Linked DNA regions of Caenorhabditis elegans. The protein of the gene in region 1 purifies or fractionates together with the protein of each later gene. This does not show direct contact. Each region holds a gene or a part of one and is shown on either strand. Other genes may lie near its edges.

Region 1 (11,022 bases):
ATCACCAAGATCCAGACCAATTGTTATTGATAAAAAAAGGAGACCAATGTTTTATAGATAATTCTAATAAATTCATCAAAAAACAAATTTTTTTGAAGCGAGTGGCGAGATCATGGTGGAGCGTGGCGGGGCCATTTTGAATAAGTGTACCACCCTCTAAAGTCGTAGAAGTGTAGAAAGATGAACTGAATACTTTGAATCAATACAGACTATTTTATTGGTTGAAAAGTGTATTTTTAAGAAAAAAAACTTATAAACTAAAAGCATACAATTGATGAAAAATGCATAAAAACGGTTATAAATAACATACAAAAACCAATGAAACGCTGGGAAAACATCAAGTAAGATAGTTTAAACATCATCGTGATTTTGCATGTAAATGTTGAATGGTGGTGTCAAAAATTCAATTTTCGATAGAAAAATTAAATGCATTTGCGGTATCCATTATATAATTGAAGAATCCACCAATATCTTCAGTATCATTCTTGATTTTATAGTCTTCCAAATTCACCTCGCCGCCCAGTGGATTGCAAAACTTTTCCTGAAAGGAATTGTTATACTGTATATTCTTGTTTCATCTCAAATTCCGTACCGCTTCAGCAAACATTCGATCACCAGGGCGACACCCATAGAGTGAACTGAACAATGGATACTGGCGAACTGCAGTGTTGATGGATATTTCAAAGGGATGATGATGTGGTAGAATTGAGTTTTTTGGTTTGCCTTGGATGCATAATCCGCCCAAAATTGTCTCAAGCGCATTTTTCAGCTGAAATATGTAATTTTTGACGGTGAGATGCTTTCCGGGAACCAGCTCTAATTATGAGTACCTGATTGGGTGATCTACACAAATCAATGAAATATGCTTTGTTTCACTCTTGTGCTTGTAACAAATACATTGACGTATTTTAATTCCCCTGGTTTAATTGGTAATTCCTAGGGTTTTAGAAAAGGGCAATTTTTTTCAATGAACTTGGTCGCAGGTTGCCGAAAGCTTTAGCGTCCGACAACTTTGTCTGCATGTTCCTACCTAATTTATTAACAATGTATCTAGAAAACCTGCTAAAACATATCCTACCTGCTCTTCATTCACCGATTTCTTTGCCGCCATCTTCATAACCATCCTTAATCCCATTATGTTTGCTAAATCTTCATGAGTGACCTTTTTACTGAACCATCCATCTATTGGTTTCTGAAATCGGCAATTTTAGTGAAGCACATATGTGAAAAAAGTAGAAATTTGCTAGCTCACCACGGCATCAGAGTCACCCATCATCTTGACTTCATCTTGTGTACACTTGTTTGCTGCTTTTGTAACATTAGGAGTCAGTAACTCTGTTCCGCTTGGATAGACAAAGTGCATGAGCTCATGGGCAAGCACGGAAAAGGTGTCGGCTATCTGGAAAAATACGAAACAGCCTTGGTATTTCCCGGCAATTTTCAAGCCGTCAGAATTTCAGATTTAAAAAACCGTTAGCCAACAAAAAGGATTAACACCCATGACTGACATAAACATCAAAATTAATGTTGAATATTCCCTTACCGCTAACATGGGTTGTTGTAAATCATTTCGAGGGACAATTCCACTGTAAATAGCTGAGTTGTGCTTAAACGCTTCATTTTCCGTATTCGACGCAAAAGCTGAGAACAAAAACTCCGGTTCATAGCCCGGAATTCGTTTTGCCAAGTACTTTGTCGCGGTATCAATGGCTCCTAAACGGAGGATTTTCTCCGCAATTTCAGTGTCAAGATCACTGAAATCAAATTCTAAAAGTTGGTCTTCAATATTCTACTTACTCTGGTGGCAATAAACTTTTGAGTCGTTAATATTCCGTCTCGTAAATGAGTTTAGTTTCCTCTAGTATTGTGACATTATTATAATCCAAAAGTCCAAAAAATACTTTTGAATTTTCCAGTTTTTTTTGTCAAACTCTTTTTTACTTTCATCAGAGAAAGAACTGCTCCAAATCTCCTCGATAGTATTATTTTTTAACATATTGAAGATATGATGAAGAAATTTGTTTTCTTCGGAGGCTGGGAGATTAAGCTGGTTGAGGACCTCAATATTGGCGTAGAGAGAATTGTAGAAAATATTTGTCAACTGGAATATAAAAAATATTGAAAATGTAGTATGTGAAATTCGCTCTCAAATTGTTATTAGAAAACTAAATTCTTTCCAAAAAATATTACATTTTCTCTTTAGAGTTAGAAGAAAATCCAATTCACTCGCTTTTTTTGAAACTAGGGCTAGCAAAAATATTTTATCGTGAAATTTGACATATTCTTAAAATTTACGGGATTTTCTTACCGTCAGATTAACGTTTTTCAGGGTCTCCACCATAAAACTGAATTTCTCAGAATTGTTCTTCTTTTTAATATATTCGTAATGCGTTTCGAAAAAATATTCCATATCCACAATGGCCGTATCCAATGATTTGACTGTCATATACCATTTCATTAAGCGATCCGGCTCAAGAATTTGATTTAATGTGGTGTAGGAACCGTTATTCGAAAATGAGATGTTCGGATTCTGGAAAATTGTTGGGTACTATTATATGAATGGCTGGGAGCCTACTACCAGTATCTCACGATCCTCGAATAAACTTGTGAAGTTAAGCTTAGTGATGCTTCTGGTGTCATTTGAGCACACATAATCATAGAAGTCGTTGCAAGGATCCAGACTAGCATTCTGAATACATTTTATAGTTTTTAGTTTGTTTACCAAAGTTTGTCAGAAAATTTTTCGGGTCAATCTGAATTTGCAATACTTGTTTTTTTTTAACAAACCATTTTCAAAAAAAGAAAAAAACGATTGCCGTCAACTCACTCATGTTCAAAATAACATAGATTTAATTTTAAAAATCCAGAAAAAATCAAAAAATTCAATAATTCAGTGTGAAAACCTACCTCTTGGTTACTCTGCACGCTTATAGTCACAATTAGTGTCAGTACCAACAGGAAGTTCATTCTCAGTTAGTATTAAGAACAAAATGTGAAAAGGCATGTGTTCATTTGTACGCCACATGTCGCAGCAACCTTTTTCTTCAAACTTCTCCCAATGTCAAATGTATCTCTAAATCACCAAGATCCAGACCAATTGATCCTGACCAATACAAAAAAGAGAGTTGATATAAGTTCCGATTTTTTTGAACTGGTGGAATAGTTTTATTTCAGTAACTAATTCAAAATTAAAATAAAATTAAAGTATGACAGTTCTGAGGGTCGTGGCTTTTGTGTTGGTTTCAGTTGCAGTGTTTGAATTGGCTTGTAGCTTTCAACTTCTGAAATTAAACAAAAATAATTTTTTGGAACACTACAGCGCTGAAACTCACATTAAACAACTGCTGGGATTCCGGCTCTCCACACGTTTCGCTGACCAACTTCTTCACGCAATTTTCTTTTCCAACCATGTTTTTGCACAGTTCCCCCATTTCGTCTGTGGTTTCGTCCTCTCCACTTAATACCAAATCATAAAATGGTTTCCACTCTTTGAAACACTCGGGAACTGGTTTCAAGTTTCCCAACTTTGCAAGACAGGGATTGAAGTCTGTGGATAAGAAGTTCATGATCTCACAGGACTCCCTAACTTGTTTTCCTGTGGAGTTGTCTTGCTCTTTTTCACACTCAACAAGGTCAAGACATGTGTGGAAGTGCACGATTTTGTAAATATGGAAGTGCACGATTTTGTAAATTTCTCCAGGCTCTTCTGCTTCAAATCGACAAAGAACAATCTTGCACTGAATTCTCCTAATCGCTGTAAACAGATTATTCCAATGAGCTAGAAATTTCAAAAAATCTTACATAAAGGCAAGCCAACAACTTTTTTAAAGTGACTTCCGTGCAATTTGTTCCAGTTCCCGACTCGATAATACTTGTTTCATTGTTTGGAACCTGGTTTTCCGCAAATGCAAGAAGAAGTGCTCCAAGTATAGCAAGCTTGAACAAAAAGCTCATTTTCTGAAAATCATAAGGAATGGACAACTTGTTTCAAAACCGAAAAAAGTTAAATGATAAAAAAAAAGCGATGCGACCTATCCCAGAAAACATAGTTTTCTGACGGTGGTTTAACATTCTTTTTCCTGGACGCCAATTGTCAATGCTTTACAAACGGGGTCAAAATGTTTGGGGAAACATGACATGTGATGTGAAACAGTGGATTTGTCCACCGTACACAAGTCAGATAAAAATACGTTCAATTGCGAAAGTGCGGAAGAAGGGAGCCTGGTTCCGAGAAGTAGCAAGGGAAGCGATCATAAATTGAAAAGGCTGGTAGTGTCAGATAAAACAAGTTTAAATGCTGGCGAGGACTATTTCCATTTAACAACATTTCCGGAAAAAAAATTTGGTTCTCGAGATACGGTCGAATCAGTAACGTTGTCAAAAACGGGCTCACGAGATTTCGGCCGCTGTATTTTTTGTCATGAAATTTGTAAAAAACTCAAACAACCGAATACCAGTAGGCGCAATTATGAGCAATACTTCACCAGTTAAACTTTTCTCGATAACATTTATAGTTTTTAAGTTGTGCTCGTTTGGAAAATTTGTAAATTTATCAAAAATCAAAAATGGGATTTGTTTTTGGCCAGGAATTTTAGAAACTCTGAAATATTTAACGCAAAAAAAAACAAATAAATTATTTAATTGAATCTGCTGAAGTCACAAGTAGTGTCGACAAATCCTCCAGCGATGGTGATGAAATGCTAAAAATGAACGATATTTTAGCGAAATTATCTAGAAGCTTTTACCTTTCGGAAGGAGTCCCATTCTTGTTGGCCACATGTTTCTTTGACTTCCTTCATCATGCAGTCGTCTTTTCCGAAATATCTCTTACAAGTCTCACTTCTTGACTTGGCAACTTTTATTGGATCTGTTTCATCTTGGAGTTTGTCTGGCATTGGATCCCAGTCATCAAAACATTTTGATTTCTTCGCATTCAATTTGTCACTACAGGCGGCAAAATCATCGTGAACGTAGTCCATAGCTTTGCAATACTTTATAACAACCTTCATTTCTGGAATTTTCTCTCCATCTGTTCCCAAGCATTTGATTTTGTTGAAACAACTGATTACGTTATGGCAATCATCCTTGAATACTTTTAGCTCCTTTTTGTCATTCATGTCGAGGTTGTCAGTTTTTTTGATGAAATCGGACAGACCCTGAATTTGGAATTTATAATAAATTATTGAGTTGCTTGAAGATAAAGACTACTCACCATGATGCAAGAAAATGCCCTAAGTGATTCTCCATCAGTACAACCAGCGTCTTCTGCTCCAGTCGCAACTGCTTTATGGGCCACTCCCAAGAACACAGTGCCAATAATGGCAAGTTTGAGGAATCCTATCATTTTCTGAAACAAAATTTATATTGAAAGTTGATAAAAGTGAAAAAAGTAAGAATGAAGATTTCCAATACGGTGAGCTCTATTTAAACGATTTAAAAGATGATATTCTGCCAACTGTCGTTGTTCCTGGAATAGCTCAAAAAGAGTTTCTGATGCTTGTCAATCGCACACTTGTTCCACCAAAATGAAATTTGTACATTGAAACCTATCCCTTGATTCACCATAAACATGTTGATGCCGGAATTGTTTGACCCCAAGAAACCTCAAAATTACACTAAGAACAAAAGATAGCAAGTGCTTTCTTTTGCTTCCTTTTTCCAGAAATTGTCATCCGAATGAGATTGAACGGAAAAGACAGGCGTGCAATGTTAGAGACCATCCCAAAAATTAATTGTCAGAAACATTCAGTCACTGGTGCGGTGTAAAATATATTTGTTCATCAGAATGATGCAGTAAAGATCCAAAACAAGAATAATTTGCTTATTTTGCAATAGTTTATTGCTAACTCAGAGTAATTCAAATATTATGTTCCTGTTACAAGTGACTCTTTTTTAGGTGAAGACTAGAAATTTTACATTAAAAAATTAAAATTGGAAATTTCTGGTACACTCACTATAATTGCATTTTATTACAAGAAATACAGTTTCGTCAAAAAAGTCCTCAAAAACAACTTCAAAGTTTATTAGTGTAACATATAATTTTTACAAGTTTGAAGTAAATTTTCCTCTGAAAACAGTACTTTTTGAAACATAAATTTCAAGAGAAAAAATTCAAAATTATTCAAATGTAAACGTTAGTTGTTTAGCATGAAATAACTGTTGTTTAATTGTTTAGCAAAGAAAATGAAGGATTCAAATGTCCGCTAAATTTAGTCAGCGTCGCATTGTTTGAAAACGGATGTTTCTTCAAAACGCTGAAATTTTCAAAATTCAATTTCTCTGCTAACTACAAAGCTGAAGCTTACATCGACCAACTCTTGCGACATGGCTCCTCCACAAGTTCTGCCGACTAGATCCTTCATGCAATTGTCTTTTCCAAGCATATTTTTGCACAATTCCTCCATTTCCTCTGGGGTTGTGTCAGGTCCAACTTCATTCAAATCATAAAATGGTTTCCACTTCTTGAAGCACGTAGGTGCTGGATTCAATTTTTCCAATCTTCTAAGACAGGGAACGAAATTTTTGGATAAGTAGTTCATGACATCACAAGAGTCCTTGATTCTTTTGCCTCTTGAAAATTTGCCAGTTTCTTTACACTCGATAAGATCGAAACATGTAGCCATTGAAACGCACGATTTTCTAAATTTATCCAGAGTCCTCTGCTCTAAATCCAGAAAAAGTACTTTTTTCAAAAATCCTCCAAATTCCTGTAAAACAATTATTCACCTGGGCTAGTTATTTCTAAAAACTTACCCAAACGCAACCGGCCATTCTTTTAAAAGTGACTTCTGGGCAATCTCTAATTCTTCTTCTCTCCAACTCACTTGCTTCATTGTATCCATCATCCCCATAAGCGAGTGCAAGTAGGACTGATGCGAGCAGAGCAAGTTTGAAAAAACCCCTCATTTTCTGCAATTAAAAATAATTCAACAGTTTTTTTAAAAAACAGGGAAAATAGTGAAAAACTAATCGAAAAATGAGAGAACCTATCCCACTGCGAGAGAACATAGTTTTCTGACGGTGGTTCTTTTTCCCTGACGCCAACTGTTAAAGTTCCACAGGGTCAAAATGTTTGGGACAAATGACATGTGATGCAAAACTGTGGATATGTTAGCGTGTCAGATAAAAATAAGATCTATCGCGGAAGTGAGTAAGAAGGGATCCTGGTTCCAAACAGATCCGAGAGAAGCGATTAGAAATCGAAAAGACGTTAGAGCTCATCGGGGCTGTGCGGCATCCGAGATTTTCGGCAACCGGCAACCAGGTTTCAAGGTTTTGACGTTGGTCGAACATATATTTTTGTTGAAATTATATGTATATTTGAACCTTTTGAAAGAAAGTATGGTCGTTTTTTTTTAAATTTACTGTGAAATGTTAGCATTTTTCAGGCTCTCTGAATGCTTCTTTCTGATTGTGAGCTAAAAATGTTTGACATTGATATCGGCAATTGCCGAGGTTGCCGAGAAAAAAGAACTCGGCAACTGCCGAAGTTGCCGAACCCCAAAAATTTCGGCAATTGCCAAAGTTGCCGGACGCTGAAAACTTCGGCAACTTTTTAGCAACCGGCAATATGGTCGATTACAAATAAATTTCCACGAATTTTATTGTTTACATACGTTTTGAGTATTATATATTATAGCGTTGAAAATTGGCAAAATTACCACTTTTTCTGTAAATTTTTTTTAAAAGAACGTTCGAAAAGTTTTATTAGGATATTTGGCCATCTTGGGAGCATAATAGTGGTATTTTGCAGTAAAGACAAAAATGCAGGAGTAGCCGGTAAGAGAACTTCAGAAACATTTAATTAAAAAAAAGAACACATAAAATTTAATTCAATCTGCTGAAGTCACAAGTGTCGACAAATCCTCCTGCGATGTTAATGAAATGCTGAAAATGAACGATATTCTAGCGAAAATATCTAAAAGCATTTTACCACTCTGAAGGCGTCCCATTCTTGTTGTCCACATGTTGCCTTAATTTCCTTCATCATGCAGTCGTCTTTTCCAAAATATATCTTGCAAGCCTCACTTCTTAACTGCTCTTTTTTTATTGGATCTTTTTCGAAATGAACTTTGTTTGGAATTGGGTCCCAGTCATCAAAACATGTTGATTTCTTTGCATTCAATTTGTCACTACACTCGGCAAAATTATCGTGTACGTAGTCCAATGCTTTGCAATACTTTCCAACAACCCTAAGCTTCGGTATTTGATCTCCATTTTTGCCCAAACATTTGATTTTGTTGAAACAACTGAGTACGTTATGGCACTCCTCCTTCAATTCTTTTACCTCCTTTTTGTCATTCATGTCGAGTAGTTCAGTTTTGTTGATAAAAGGGGGAATACGCTAAATTTAAATATTTCGAATTAATAAGATACATAGATTAATACAACTCACCATGGCACAAAAAAGTGACCTAAGTGACTCTTCTTCAGTACACACAAGGATTTCTTCCTCCGCAAATGCTGCATTAGCCACTTCTAAAAACACAGTGCCAATGACAACAAGTTTGAGGAATCCTATCATTTTCTGAAACAAAATTTATATTGAAAGTTGATAAAAGTGAAAAAAGTAAGAATGAAGATTTCCAATACGGTGAGCTCTATTTAAACGATTTAAAAGATGATATTCTGCCAACTGTCGTAGTTCCTGGAATACCAAAGAGAAAAGTTTCCTGATGATTGTGGATCGCACATTTGTTCCACCAAAATGAAATTTGTACATTGAAACCTATCCCTTGATTCACCATAAACATGTTGATGCCGGAATTGTTTGACCCCGAGAAGTCTAAAAATTACACTAAGAACAGAAGATACAGCAAGTGCTTTCTTCTGCTTTATTTCTTTTTTCCAGCAATTGCCATCCCGAGGAAATTGAACAGCGAAGACAGGCGTGCGATGTTAGCGACTTTTTCCTAGTTGAACATCTAACTCGGTACAAGCTACACAAACTATTTTTTAAAAGTGTTATCCGATTCCAAATCAAATTCAAAGATCGCGACCCTACTAGGAATCTCATTCATTTTGTTTGCCTGATATGTTCTGTTCAGAACTTCCTGGTACTCTCACTGAATCGCACTTGCAAGTATTACTACGCAATTGGACTGCTTATTTCGCACGGTTTGTTTTTTCATATAACTGTTGGTGCTGCTGAGTTTGCAGTCACTTCCATTTTCCGTTTGCTCTACTACTTCTACCCATGATTGTTCAAGCCGATCAGAAAAGTTTGAAAGTTTGAGATCTGCATAGAGTTTGCCTATCTGCGATCTTTGATAGAAAAATGTGCACCAGGGAGGGATGTCTGTCTGCTACCTCCAGTAACACTCGTTTGGCCGACAATTGCTAAAAAATTACGAAAAAGAACTCACTATCATCCGTTCAGTGTAATCTCGGAGTTGATTCGGGTCACAAAGCTCCACCCTCTGCATGTTTATGGTACGAGTGAAAGAAGAGATTTTAATACAAACGTGTGAGCCCCTTAACTTGTCTTGAGCTTCTCGAAAATCCAAGACAGTTGCCACATTGTCTTTTCAATCGCTCATACCTCCAGTAGATCTCAGCCCAGTAGAAATCTTCACTTTTTTCCGTCTCCGTTCTTCAAATATTTCTTGATTTTTTTGTTTTTTTTTCAGAAAATGATAAGTTTTCTTCAATTTGCCGCCATTGGAACTATTATCTTAGGAGTGGCCCATGGAGCTCCTGCTGATCTCAAACCCAACTGCACTGGTGAAACACCCGATGAACTTTTTTGCCGCTTTGTAAGTGATTTTGATTCATTCACTTTATAAGTAACCTTGTTCGATGTTCAGCGCCTGACTGAGTTCACCGGAAAAATCGACAAGCTTAATATGAATAACAAAGATGAGCTGAACGAATTCAAGACGTCTTGCGATTCTCTGCAGAAATGCTTCGCCAATCTCACATGTTCTTTACAAAATGAGAAAGGAGAGTCAGCGCTGAAGACTGTGGAAAAGTATTGCGATGCTCTTGTGTACTTACACACGGATTTTGCCAAGTGTAGTGAGAAATTGAACGCGAAGAAATCTGAATGTTTCGATGACTGAGACCCGGTTCCAAATGGAATTCATTCAACACTGGACCAGAATAAAATTGATCAATTGAAAAAGGACACATGTAAGACATATTTTGGAAAGGATGACTGTCTCAAGAAGGAAATCATTGAAACTTGTAGCCAACAAGAATGGAATAAGTTCCGTGAGGTATACTATATAGATTTTTTAATTAAAAAATTTTTGGTAATTTTCAGCAATTTGTCAATCTTTCTTACATGCTTGTCAGTGAATGCGACTTTAGCAGACTCGGATAAATCATCGAGAACTTTGTTTAATAAATTGGCTTACTATTAGATTTTTTTCAGTTTTAAATTCTCATTACGAGTAAAATAAAGTGGTTTTTGTGTGTGTGCAAAAGGTAGTTATTTGAAGCGGCCGACACGTTCGAAGTCCCGCAGCTTGGCGTGAAATGAGTAGCCTGGCGTGTGCTCAACGTAGTGCGAAGAGGTAGTTGTTTGGAAGCGGCCGACACGTTCGCGGTTCCGCGCCGCAGGCCGGCGAAGGCGCCGTTGCGGCGACCTCGTGGGAGCCCTATTAATCAAAGCTATTAGGAGTTAAGTAGCATTTAAGAAAAAGCTTTCTATCAGTAGTTTTTAGTGTAATCTTGAGATATCTTGGGGTCGAAAAGTTCCGGCACAGACCAGTTGTTGGGATGAGTAAAACATGGGTTGCGTCTCAATCGACAGCTCAAACATTGAACTTCAGGGAAAAAATACGACAGTTGCCACAGTGTTCAATATCATCTTTTCAAACGTTTATAAACAGACATGCCCCGTGGAAATCTTCAGTCACTTTTTTCCCGTCTACCGAGATACTTTTTGACCGTTGCTTTAGAGAAGGATGAGTATCCTCCAACTTGCCGTCATTGGCACCATGCTGCTCGGATTAGTCCATGGATCTTCTGATGCTGGGAACGGCACTAAATGTAGTGATGGAGTGGTTGGCATTGTGT
Region 2 (7,510 bases), 620 kb from region 1:
GTTTTAAATCTTATTATTTTTGCTATGAGAAGCGAGACAAATAAAAAGTTTTTGGCCATGAGTTCCTCGAGCCCCGTTCCTGAAGTTGTGAGCTTCAAGCCTTGCTCCAGAGGCTTTTTTTTTCATTCTTCACCAATTTCCAAAATTTCAAATGCTATCATATTCTCCTTTTAACGTTGACTTCAAATATATACTTTTCATTTTTCAATTCCAATTGTGAGCGGAGCTACGGCGCTTTCAAGGTTCAGCAGTGCCCGCCCGCCCCCTCTTGCCTCCCCTTTCTCTTGCCTCCTCCCTCTCCACAGAGTCTCCAGTGATGCATGTAGGCTGGCTGTAAATATGGTCTCTAATTACTGTTACAGGATCTCACTTTGAAGGGAGATACAGGCGGGAGATACAGTTCGTTGAAGGGTTGGCTGCCAACACATCGCCACCCCACCAGGGCTGAGCGGCTGGCTGATTTTTTCGGCTGTCGGCTGGCGCCGACAGCCGATTGACTTCAATTTTTCGGCTGTCGGCTGGTGGCACCAGCCGAAAATAGTGAAAATTTCGGCTGTCGGCTGGCGCAGCCAGCCGACTTTTTTTTGTTTTATCTAGGCGGCTCACTGTTAAGCATTAGACCACTATTTTCCTTAGTTTTAAATGGATTATTCCGCATTTACAACCGCACAGTGTGCGGTTGTCTCCCCCCTTCTTCCCACAGGTCCACAACGCCCCCTGCCGGCAGCACTCTATAGGAGACGATCTCTAATGGTGTCTCCCCTGTCTATGTCTCTGCCGTATATCTCACTGTCTCCCCCTCTCTCTCTCTCTCTCTTTTCTCATGGGAAACGCCGGGTCAGCAGTCTCCGTTACTGCAAATGTTATCAAATTTAAAACATAGAAACGCGAATTTTCTGTAAGAACTGGACGAATTTTCTGTAAAAAACTGGAAAAAAATTTAAAGCTACCAGCCGACAAAAAGCTGGTTCGGCTGTCGGCTGGCGCCGCCAGCCGACTTCTTTTAATTTTTCGGCTGGCGCTACCAGCCGAAAATCGTGAAAATTTCGGCTGTCGGCTGGCTGCGCCGTTTTTACTTCATCAGAAAGAACACATTCTCTTTCCTATTTGTAGGGATAGTGGAAGACAAAAAAAACAATATGGATTTAAAATCAGGGCTTCGCCCCGATTTTAATAAAATATAAGACAAGCGGGCCCTGCGGGCCCGCCAGTTGCAGGGGGTGTAGGGCGAGTCCCCCAGTCGGACGTAGGTTCTCGGCTTCGCCTCGAACCTGCCAGAGGGTTCGTGACAATTGCAGTGAGCCAATGGGAGGAGAGGAGACCCACTCATATTTTGCTTAAAATCGAGCATTTCTATTCGAATCCCGATTACCCAAAAAAAATTTGTCAGTTGGGGGAATCGAGCCAACGAGCAAAATATTCACAGCCATACGCACTAACCACTCGGCCATGCGGGAGAGACCCGGCAGGGAGATGCAGGGAAGGGAAATTTCTGGAGGGAGTCGTTTTTCGATTCCGCTTTCTTCAATAATTACATTTTGAGAAAAGGCGTTCGAAAACCGTTTATTACTGATATGTCAGCGGGAAAACGAATTTTTGAAAATTTTATTACAGGATTGTACTCATTATTGATTTCCCAAAAAGGAGACGTACAGTTGAGGGCTATATCTTGTACACAGACAGATGTATAGAAAAAAAACAAGTTTTGGCCTGAAAATTAATAAAAATAATATCTCTTGGCAGAGTGTTTCTAATGCGACGAAACTTCATCTTCCATCAAATAAAATCAAAAACTATGAATTAAAAATACATTCCGCAAAACTTTAGTGGAAAAAATGTTCAGGAGACGCAGGAAACCACTCCCCCCAGTACTAAATTTTTGAATTATTTTTTTCTTGAAAAATTTTCCCACTGAACTTTTTACAAATTTTATATGTCTCGATGCGTCTTGATGAGACCTACACGTCAATTTTTGGAAAACTAAGAAAACTTGAAAACTGACCGTGTTATGATTGAAAAAGTAGATTCGCGAAAATGAGAAAGTGTGCAAAATGTGGCACTTATTCGCCTTGCTCGGCCGACTCATAAAAGTTTTCTTAATTCTGAGTTGAAAATCGTGTTCAGCGTACTTTTTTACGTGGGGTAGAAAAAAAAAGTATCGAAAAAGATGAAGTAGAACTTGAGATAAAGACGAAAAACTACTTTTTCGGAAAAAAAAATTTTTTTGGCAAAATGGCATTTTTTGGCCTTTTATTTTATCACAACTTTTTGCCTTTTGCACTTATGAACTCAAACTTTTTTTCAAAAAATCCACCTCTCTGAGTAGTATCTTGCACATAAATTTGGAACAAAACCGAGCAAAACCCGAATTTTAATTCAATTAAAACATGGTTTTTGGGGGTAAAAAGAGCAACAAAATTTTTTTTCAAACTGGGGAAAGCCGTCCTGAGCTCAGTTTTGCTCCAAACTTTGTGCAGTTTTTTGCTCCCCCGTGGGGTGAAATATTTCTAGTAAGCTGTCAAATATTATAAAATTCAGTCAAACGGCTCTGGAGTTATTAATGAAAACGAAGTGTGACATTTTTTCGCAAGCCAAAAAAAAACGCGAAAAAACGCGAAAAAGGGGCGGAGTCGCCACACTCGGCATTTATTAGAGGCTGCTTGGCAGAAACCCTCTTAAAAAGTTACAAGAAGGTTTTTCCTTGCGCTTGGAGCGCAAAAGAACAGAAAAAGAGCTATTTAGTCTTAGGGTGCCCAACTGGAATAAAACATTGGAAATCCCAATCCAACCAGCCTAAGGGCCCGAAAAACATACTAGGTACATACTGCCCAACTGGAATAAAATATTGGAGATCCTTATGACACACCGGCGGTATGGCGCGGCTTAAGCCTAAATAGCCACTTTTATCAAAATAAATTTGAGCGAGGCGGTTGTAAACTATTCGTTCTTTAGCAAAAATTAAAAAAAAAACTTTATTTAAATTTAAAAATAAATATCATATGTTATCACACCTTAGAATATCACGCCTTAATTTAGTAATCATTTTAGTTCATAAGTGTGAGAGAAAGAAAAATGGATTAATCATCGGAATTAGATATTATCAGAGTGATTATATTCATCAAAGGTCCCACTTTACTGGAGGGTTAATTTGGTTGATATAAACTTCCTATCTCATGTAAAGAAAGGTTCGAATTATGTACCTATGAATACTGCCGATATTTGAATTCCTGTCTCATGGGAAGAAGGCCTTTCTTGTGGGAAGAACGGAGTTATAAAAAAATATACGTAGGTACAGAATTTGAACTTTTCTTCCCATGAGATAGGAATTTGAATATTGGCATTCTATAACTTCACTAAGAAAAAAAATCTCCAGAGGTTGATCGCAAATATGTAGAGATTGCTCGCATCCCTTCAAATATTACAAAATTTCCAAGTTTCTTAGAAATAATCTTCATTTAGATTACTGAAAAATATCCACAGATTACTTTTGAGTTGCCTGAGAAGTTATTGTAAAACGCAAGGCGAGCTGTTGGTACAGAATTTGAACTTTTCTTCCCATGAGATAGGAATTTGAATAATGGCATTCTATAACTTTACTAAGAAAAAATATCCCCAAAGGTTGCTCGCTTCCCTCCAAATATTACGAAATCTCCAAGTTTCTCAGTAATCTATAGTTTTCATTTAGATTACTGAAAAATACACACAGATTACTTTTGAGTCTGAGAAGTTATTGTAAAACGCAAGACGAGCTCAAATGTATTTTGATAAAAGTGGCTATTTAGGCTTAAGCCGCGCCATACCGCCGGTGTGTCATAAGGATCTCCAATATTTTATTCCAGTTGGGCATCCTAGTTTTTTTTTTCGGGCCCTTAGGCTTAAGTGTGTCATAAGGATTTCCAATATTTTATTCCAGTTGGGCATCCTAGTATGTTTTTCGGGCCCTTAGGCTGGTTGGATTGGGATTTCCAATGTTTTATTCCAGTTGGGCATCCTAAGACTAAATAGCTCTTTTTTTTTTCTTTTGCGCTCCAAGCGCAAGGAAAAACCTTCTTGTAACTTTTTAAGAGGTTAGGCTTAGGCTTAGACATAAGCTGAGGCTCTGGTTCAGGCTTTGGCTTAATCTTAGACTTAAGTTTAGGCTTAAGTTTAGGCTTAACCTTAAGCTTAGGTCTTTTTTTCTGGAAAGGAAAAATTATAACAAATTTCAGGCTATATCAATTCCAGCGGCTAGAATTCACCAAGTGCCACCGTCGTCAATATTTTGGAAAATTACAATTTTAACTTCCTGCCAAAATGCAGTGAAAATCTAACAGTAGATTTGTATGCCTAATTCATATGGTGCTATTAAAAAAATTAAATATATTTTTAGTTGTAAAGAGAACAAAATTCAAGAAAATTTTTAAACATAATTTATTAAACCCGTAGTTTTGTAAACCTGCAAAAATAAAATAAATATGTTGAATCAAGCCTTCTTCCTTTTGACCATTACATATTTATCAACGAGATGATCCTCCAAATTGTAGCTGAAAATTTAAATTTTAAGATATGTAGTTCTCGATAACGCAAACTTACCACTTTTCAGAAACCGCCACACTAATAGAACCTGTATCTTCTTCTTCTTCCCACTCATGAAGCTCATCCCATTCATGATCTTCAAGAGCATCATAAGTGATAGCTTCGTAGGTATCCTCAGTGATAAGTTGATACCAATCAACTGAGTAGAGCTCGGAGTAATACCAATTTTTCTTCTTGGTTGAGCATGGATTAAAATACTTTGCAACTTTTTTCTCGTAAATTTGATGAGGCTTTATCAGATGATATGCTACAATAGGTCTTCCCGCAATTTTAGATGTCATTGTTTCGGCTTCTAGATCCTTTGATTTATTCAGAGATCGATTTTTAAATTGGATATCATTAAATTTCTGTCCATGAACAGAATCTACAGCCGTGCACTGATAATATTTGTCATCGAGTATTTTATGCATTTTTTGAATTCGAAACTTTTCAAAGTAGTTGTCTGGGAAACGGAGCCCCGCTGAAAGTTTTGTATTTTGATATTTTGAAAAAAAAAACACAAATTTTAATTAAAAATAACTCACTAAAAAATGGGGCACCTCGAAAATCGATTCTTTCCAACACCACAACATCCATATCATTATACATTTTTTGGAGCTCGCCGAGCATTTTAACAGCCGCTTCAACCTCCCATCGTTTCTTTTTATTCAGAGAATACTGAACATATGGCTGAATATCTTGACTAAAAACTGTTCGGTCCAGTTCTTCCTGTCGCTTTTTCGAGCATTGTCCTTCTCCGAAATCCATGTGATAAGTTTTCAAAAGAACTAAATTGGTTTCAATGTAGCGCATTTTCATATGACAACCTGCGTTGAAATCGTGATCTTTTTCAATATCCGGGCGGCCATTTTTTCTCCTGAAACATGAAAAATATATAGAGAAAAATATTATAGGATCCTCACCAAAAATACAAATCTTCGTACATACTGACCGCCGGTGACGCTTTTCAAATTTCCATCCTTTTTATACTTCAGTGGCGAAATATTTCGTAATACTTTTTTTTGTTTGTCAACTTTTCCACTCCTCCCCGCGGACGCTTTTACATGACGTTTCGTGAAACTATCAATGACTAATAATGTCATGCAAAAATTCAACTGATTACAAATAAATTGATGTCAAATAGATAAGGTGTCAAACTTTATTCAAATTATTGACATCTCGAGGTTTGATTTAAAATCATATTTTGAGTGACCTAGGGGAACTGCCGAAGTGACAGAAATCACAAAAAAAGTTTATTTTTAATTAATATTTTTTCTGTAACGTTTCCGCAACAGCTGATTACAGTTTTGGCATATTTTATATATGGAACCGGATGTTATTGGTTGCCAAGATTATTTCACAGTTTTGGCGTTTTTCAAACAAATATTCTTGTTGAGCTTATCTGCTGGAGGATTTATAAAAAACATTTCTTCATTTACGATTCTTGCATTTTTCAGGGCAAAAAAAATGCCTGAAACTGGTATCGGCAGTTGCCGAACTCCAAAACTGTTGCCAGCCGGCAATAGCCACAGTTGCCGCAAACAAAAAAAGAATTATTATGAAAATGTTTTTTTCAAGTGTAACTTTTATTTAAACATTCACTACAATTGAAATACTGCAACGATTTATTCAAATTTTTACAAATTTCATTTCCAGCTTGAATGGTCTCCTCCCAGCGCTGTATGGCATCAAATCGGTAGCCGAAAGTTTTCCATGTGGCTCGAATTTATAGCGAAGAAGGAGGTTTCCAAAGATCTAAAAGTACCATGATTATGCAATAAACATAGTTGTGTTTCCTTACTAAATACAATTCTGCTTTTGCCAAAGATTCTCCCAGGCAACTTCTCTTTCCAACTCCGAATGGAATTATTTTCTGTAGAAGCTTCTCATCTTGACTATACCTTTCCGGTTCGAAAACTTGCGGATTTGTAAAATAGGTTTCATTGACATGGAGAGCACTGAGTTGAGCAGTAACAAGAGCTCCAGCATCGACAGGGTGACCGCCTATGTATGTGAATTCTTTGTTGACTTTCCAGAAACTTAAGTTAAGAATTGAGGCATGGCGTTGAATCTCTCCAATCATTGCGTTCAAGTATGGAGTTGATGAACGGTCAGTAAGACTGAGACTTCGAGAACCATTTTCAGTTACGTTCATAAGTTCCTCTCTAGCTTTCACCATAACTTCCGGATGTAGCAAAAGTTGATTGAATCCAGAAGTCAATGTAGTTGTAGTTGTTTCTTGTCCGGTTAACCACAAATCAACTAACATTGTTTTTAAGGTTTCAGTGCTGAAAATAAATACTCGAGTTTGATTTTTTTTTTCTATTTATGGCATTTGATAACTAACTTAAAATCCAGATTCTCTCCTTCTTTCTGCATTTTCAACAGGAAAGCGTCAGTGTAATCTTGGAGATTGTTCTCATCAATCACATATTTTCCAGATTTTATGTCTTCTATTCTTCAAACAAAAAGAATTATTATATGGTTATGGAAAAATGCAAAGACAAACCTTTTGAGCGCTTCTGCAGCTACAAAGTTTTTCGCTATTTCTTGAGCATCCGCCATTTTGTCATAGCGATCCTTGAAGAAAGTTTTCAAAATCCAAACAGGAACGGTAGTATTAAAAGGAGTGATAAGTTTGAAAGATTCATCAATTGTATTTTTAATTCTCAAAAACACATGTTTTGTATCTTCTTCAAATCGTTTGCCAACCAAAATACTGTTGATGACACTTCCAACGGTTAAATCAAAAAATTCGGAGGCTTGTGCTACAGTGACTCCGTTCTTTGCTGATTTATCAATGTCGGAGCATCTGAATGGATATGAACTTAGTAATACTTAGGCAAGTACCTACCTTGCATCAAGTTCTTCCAATATTCTTGTCTCCATGATATCCTTCCCAACCCCCATATTCCGGAAAGTCTGCAGAGAAAATCTCCTCATTTCTTGCCAGTGA

What was found.
Region 2: the proteins of T20D4.10 (region 1) and K09D9.1 fractionate together in Caenorhabditis elegans (co-fractionation; one large-scale study listed by BioGRID). This does not show direct contact.

Annotation. Positions count from the first base shown.
Region 1 is NC_003283.11:3,394,577-3,405,598, reverse strand, and holds T20D4.10 (T20D4.11-like domain-containing protein), read right to left. Parts: upstream 5,348-11,022; 5' UTR 5,345-5,347; coding exon 5,213-5,344; intron 5,157-5,212; coding exon 4,746-5,156; intron 4,701-4,745; coding exon 4,638-4,700; 3' UTR 4,536-4,637; downstream 1-4,535. Other genes in the region: T20D4.11 (T20D4.11-like domain-containing protein), read right to left, coding at 6,210-6,254, 6,306-6,707, 6,754-6,906; T20D4.12 (T20D4.11-like domain-containing protein), read right to left, coding at 7,828-7,887, 7,934-8,344, 8,396-8,524; T20D4.15 (T20D4.11-like domain-containing protein), read left to right, coding at 10,911-11,022.
Region 2 is NC_003283.11:4,023,094-4,030,603, reverse strand, and holds K09D9.1 (DUF4130 domain-containing protein), read right to left. Parts: upstream 5,558-7,510; 5' UTR 5,501-5,557; coding exon 5,478-5,500; intron 5,432-5,477; coding exon 5,100-5,431; intron 5,036-5,099; coding exon 4,573-5,035; intron 4,524-4,572; coding exon 4,463-4,523; 3' UTR 4,392-4,462; downstream 1-4,391. Other genes in the region: cyp-35A3 (CYtochrome P450 family), read right to left, coding at 6,184-6,309, 6,356-6,842, 6,902-7,012, 7,064-7,366, 7,409-7,510.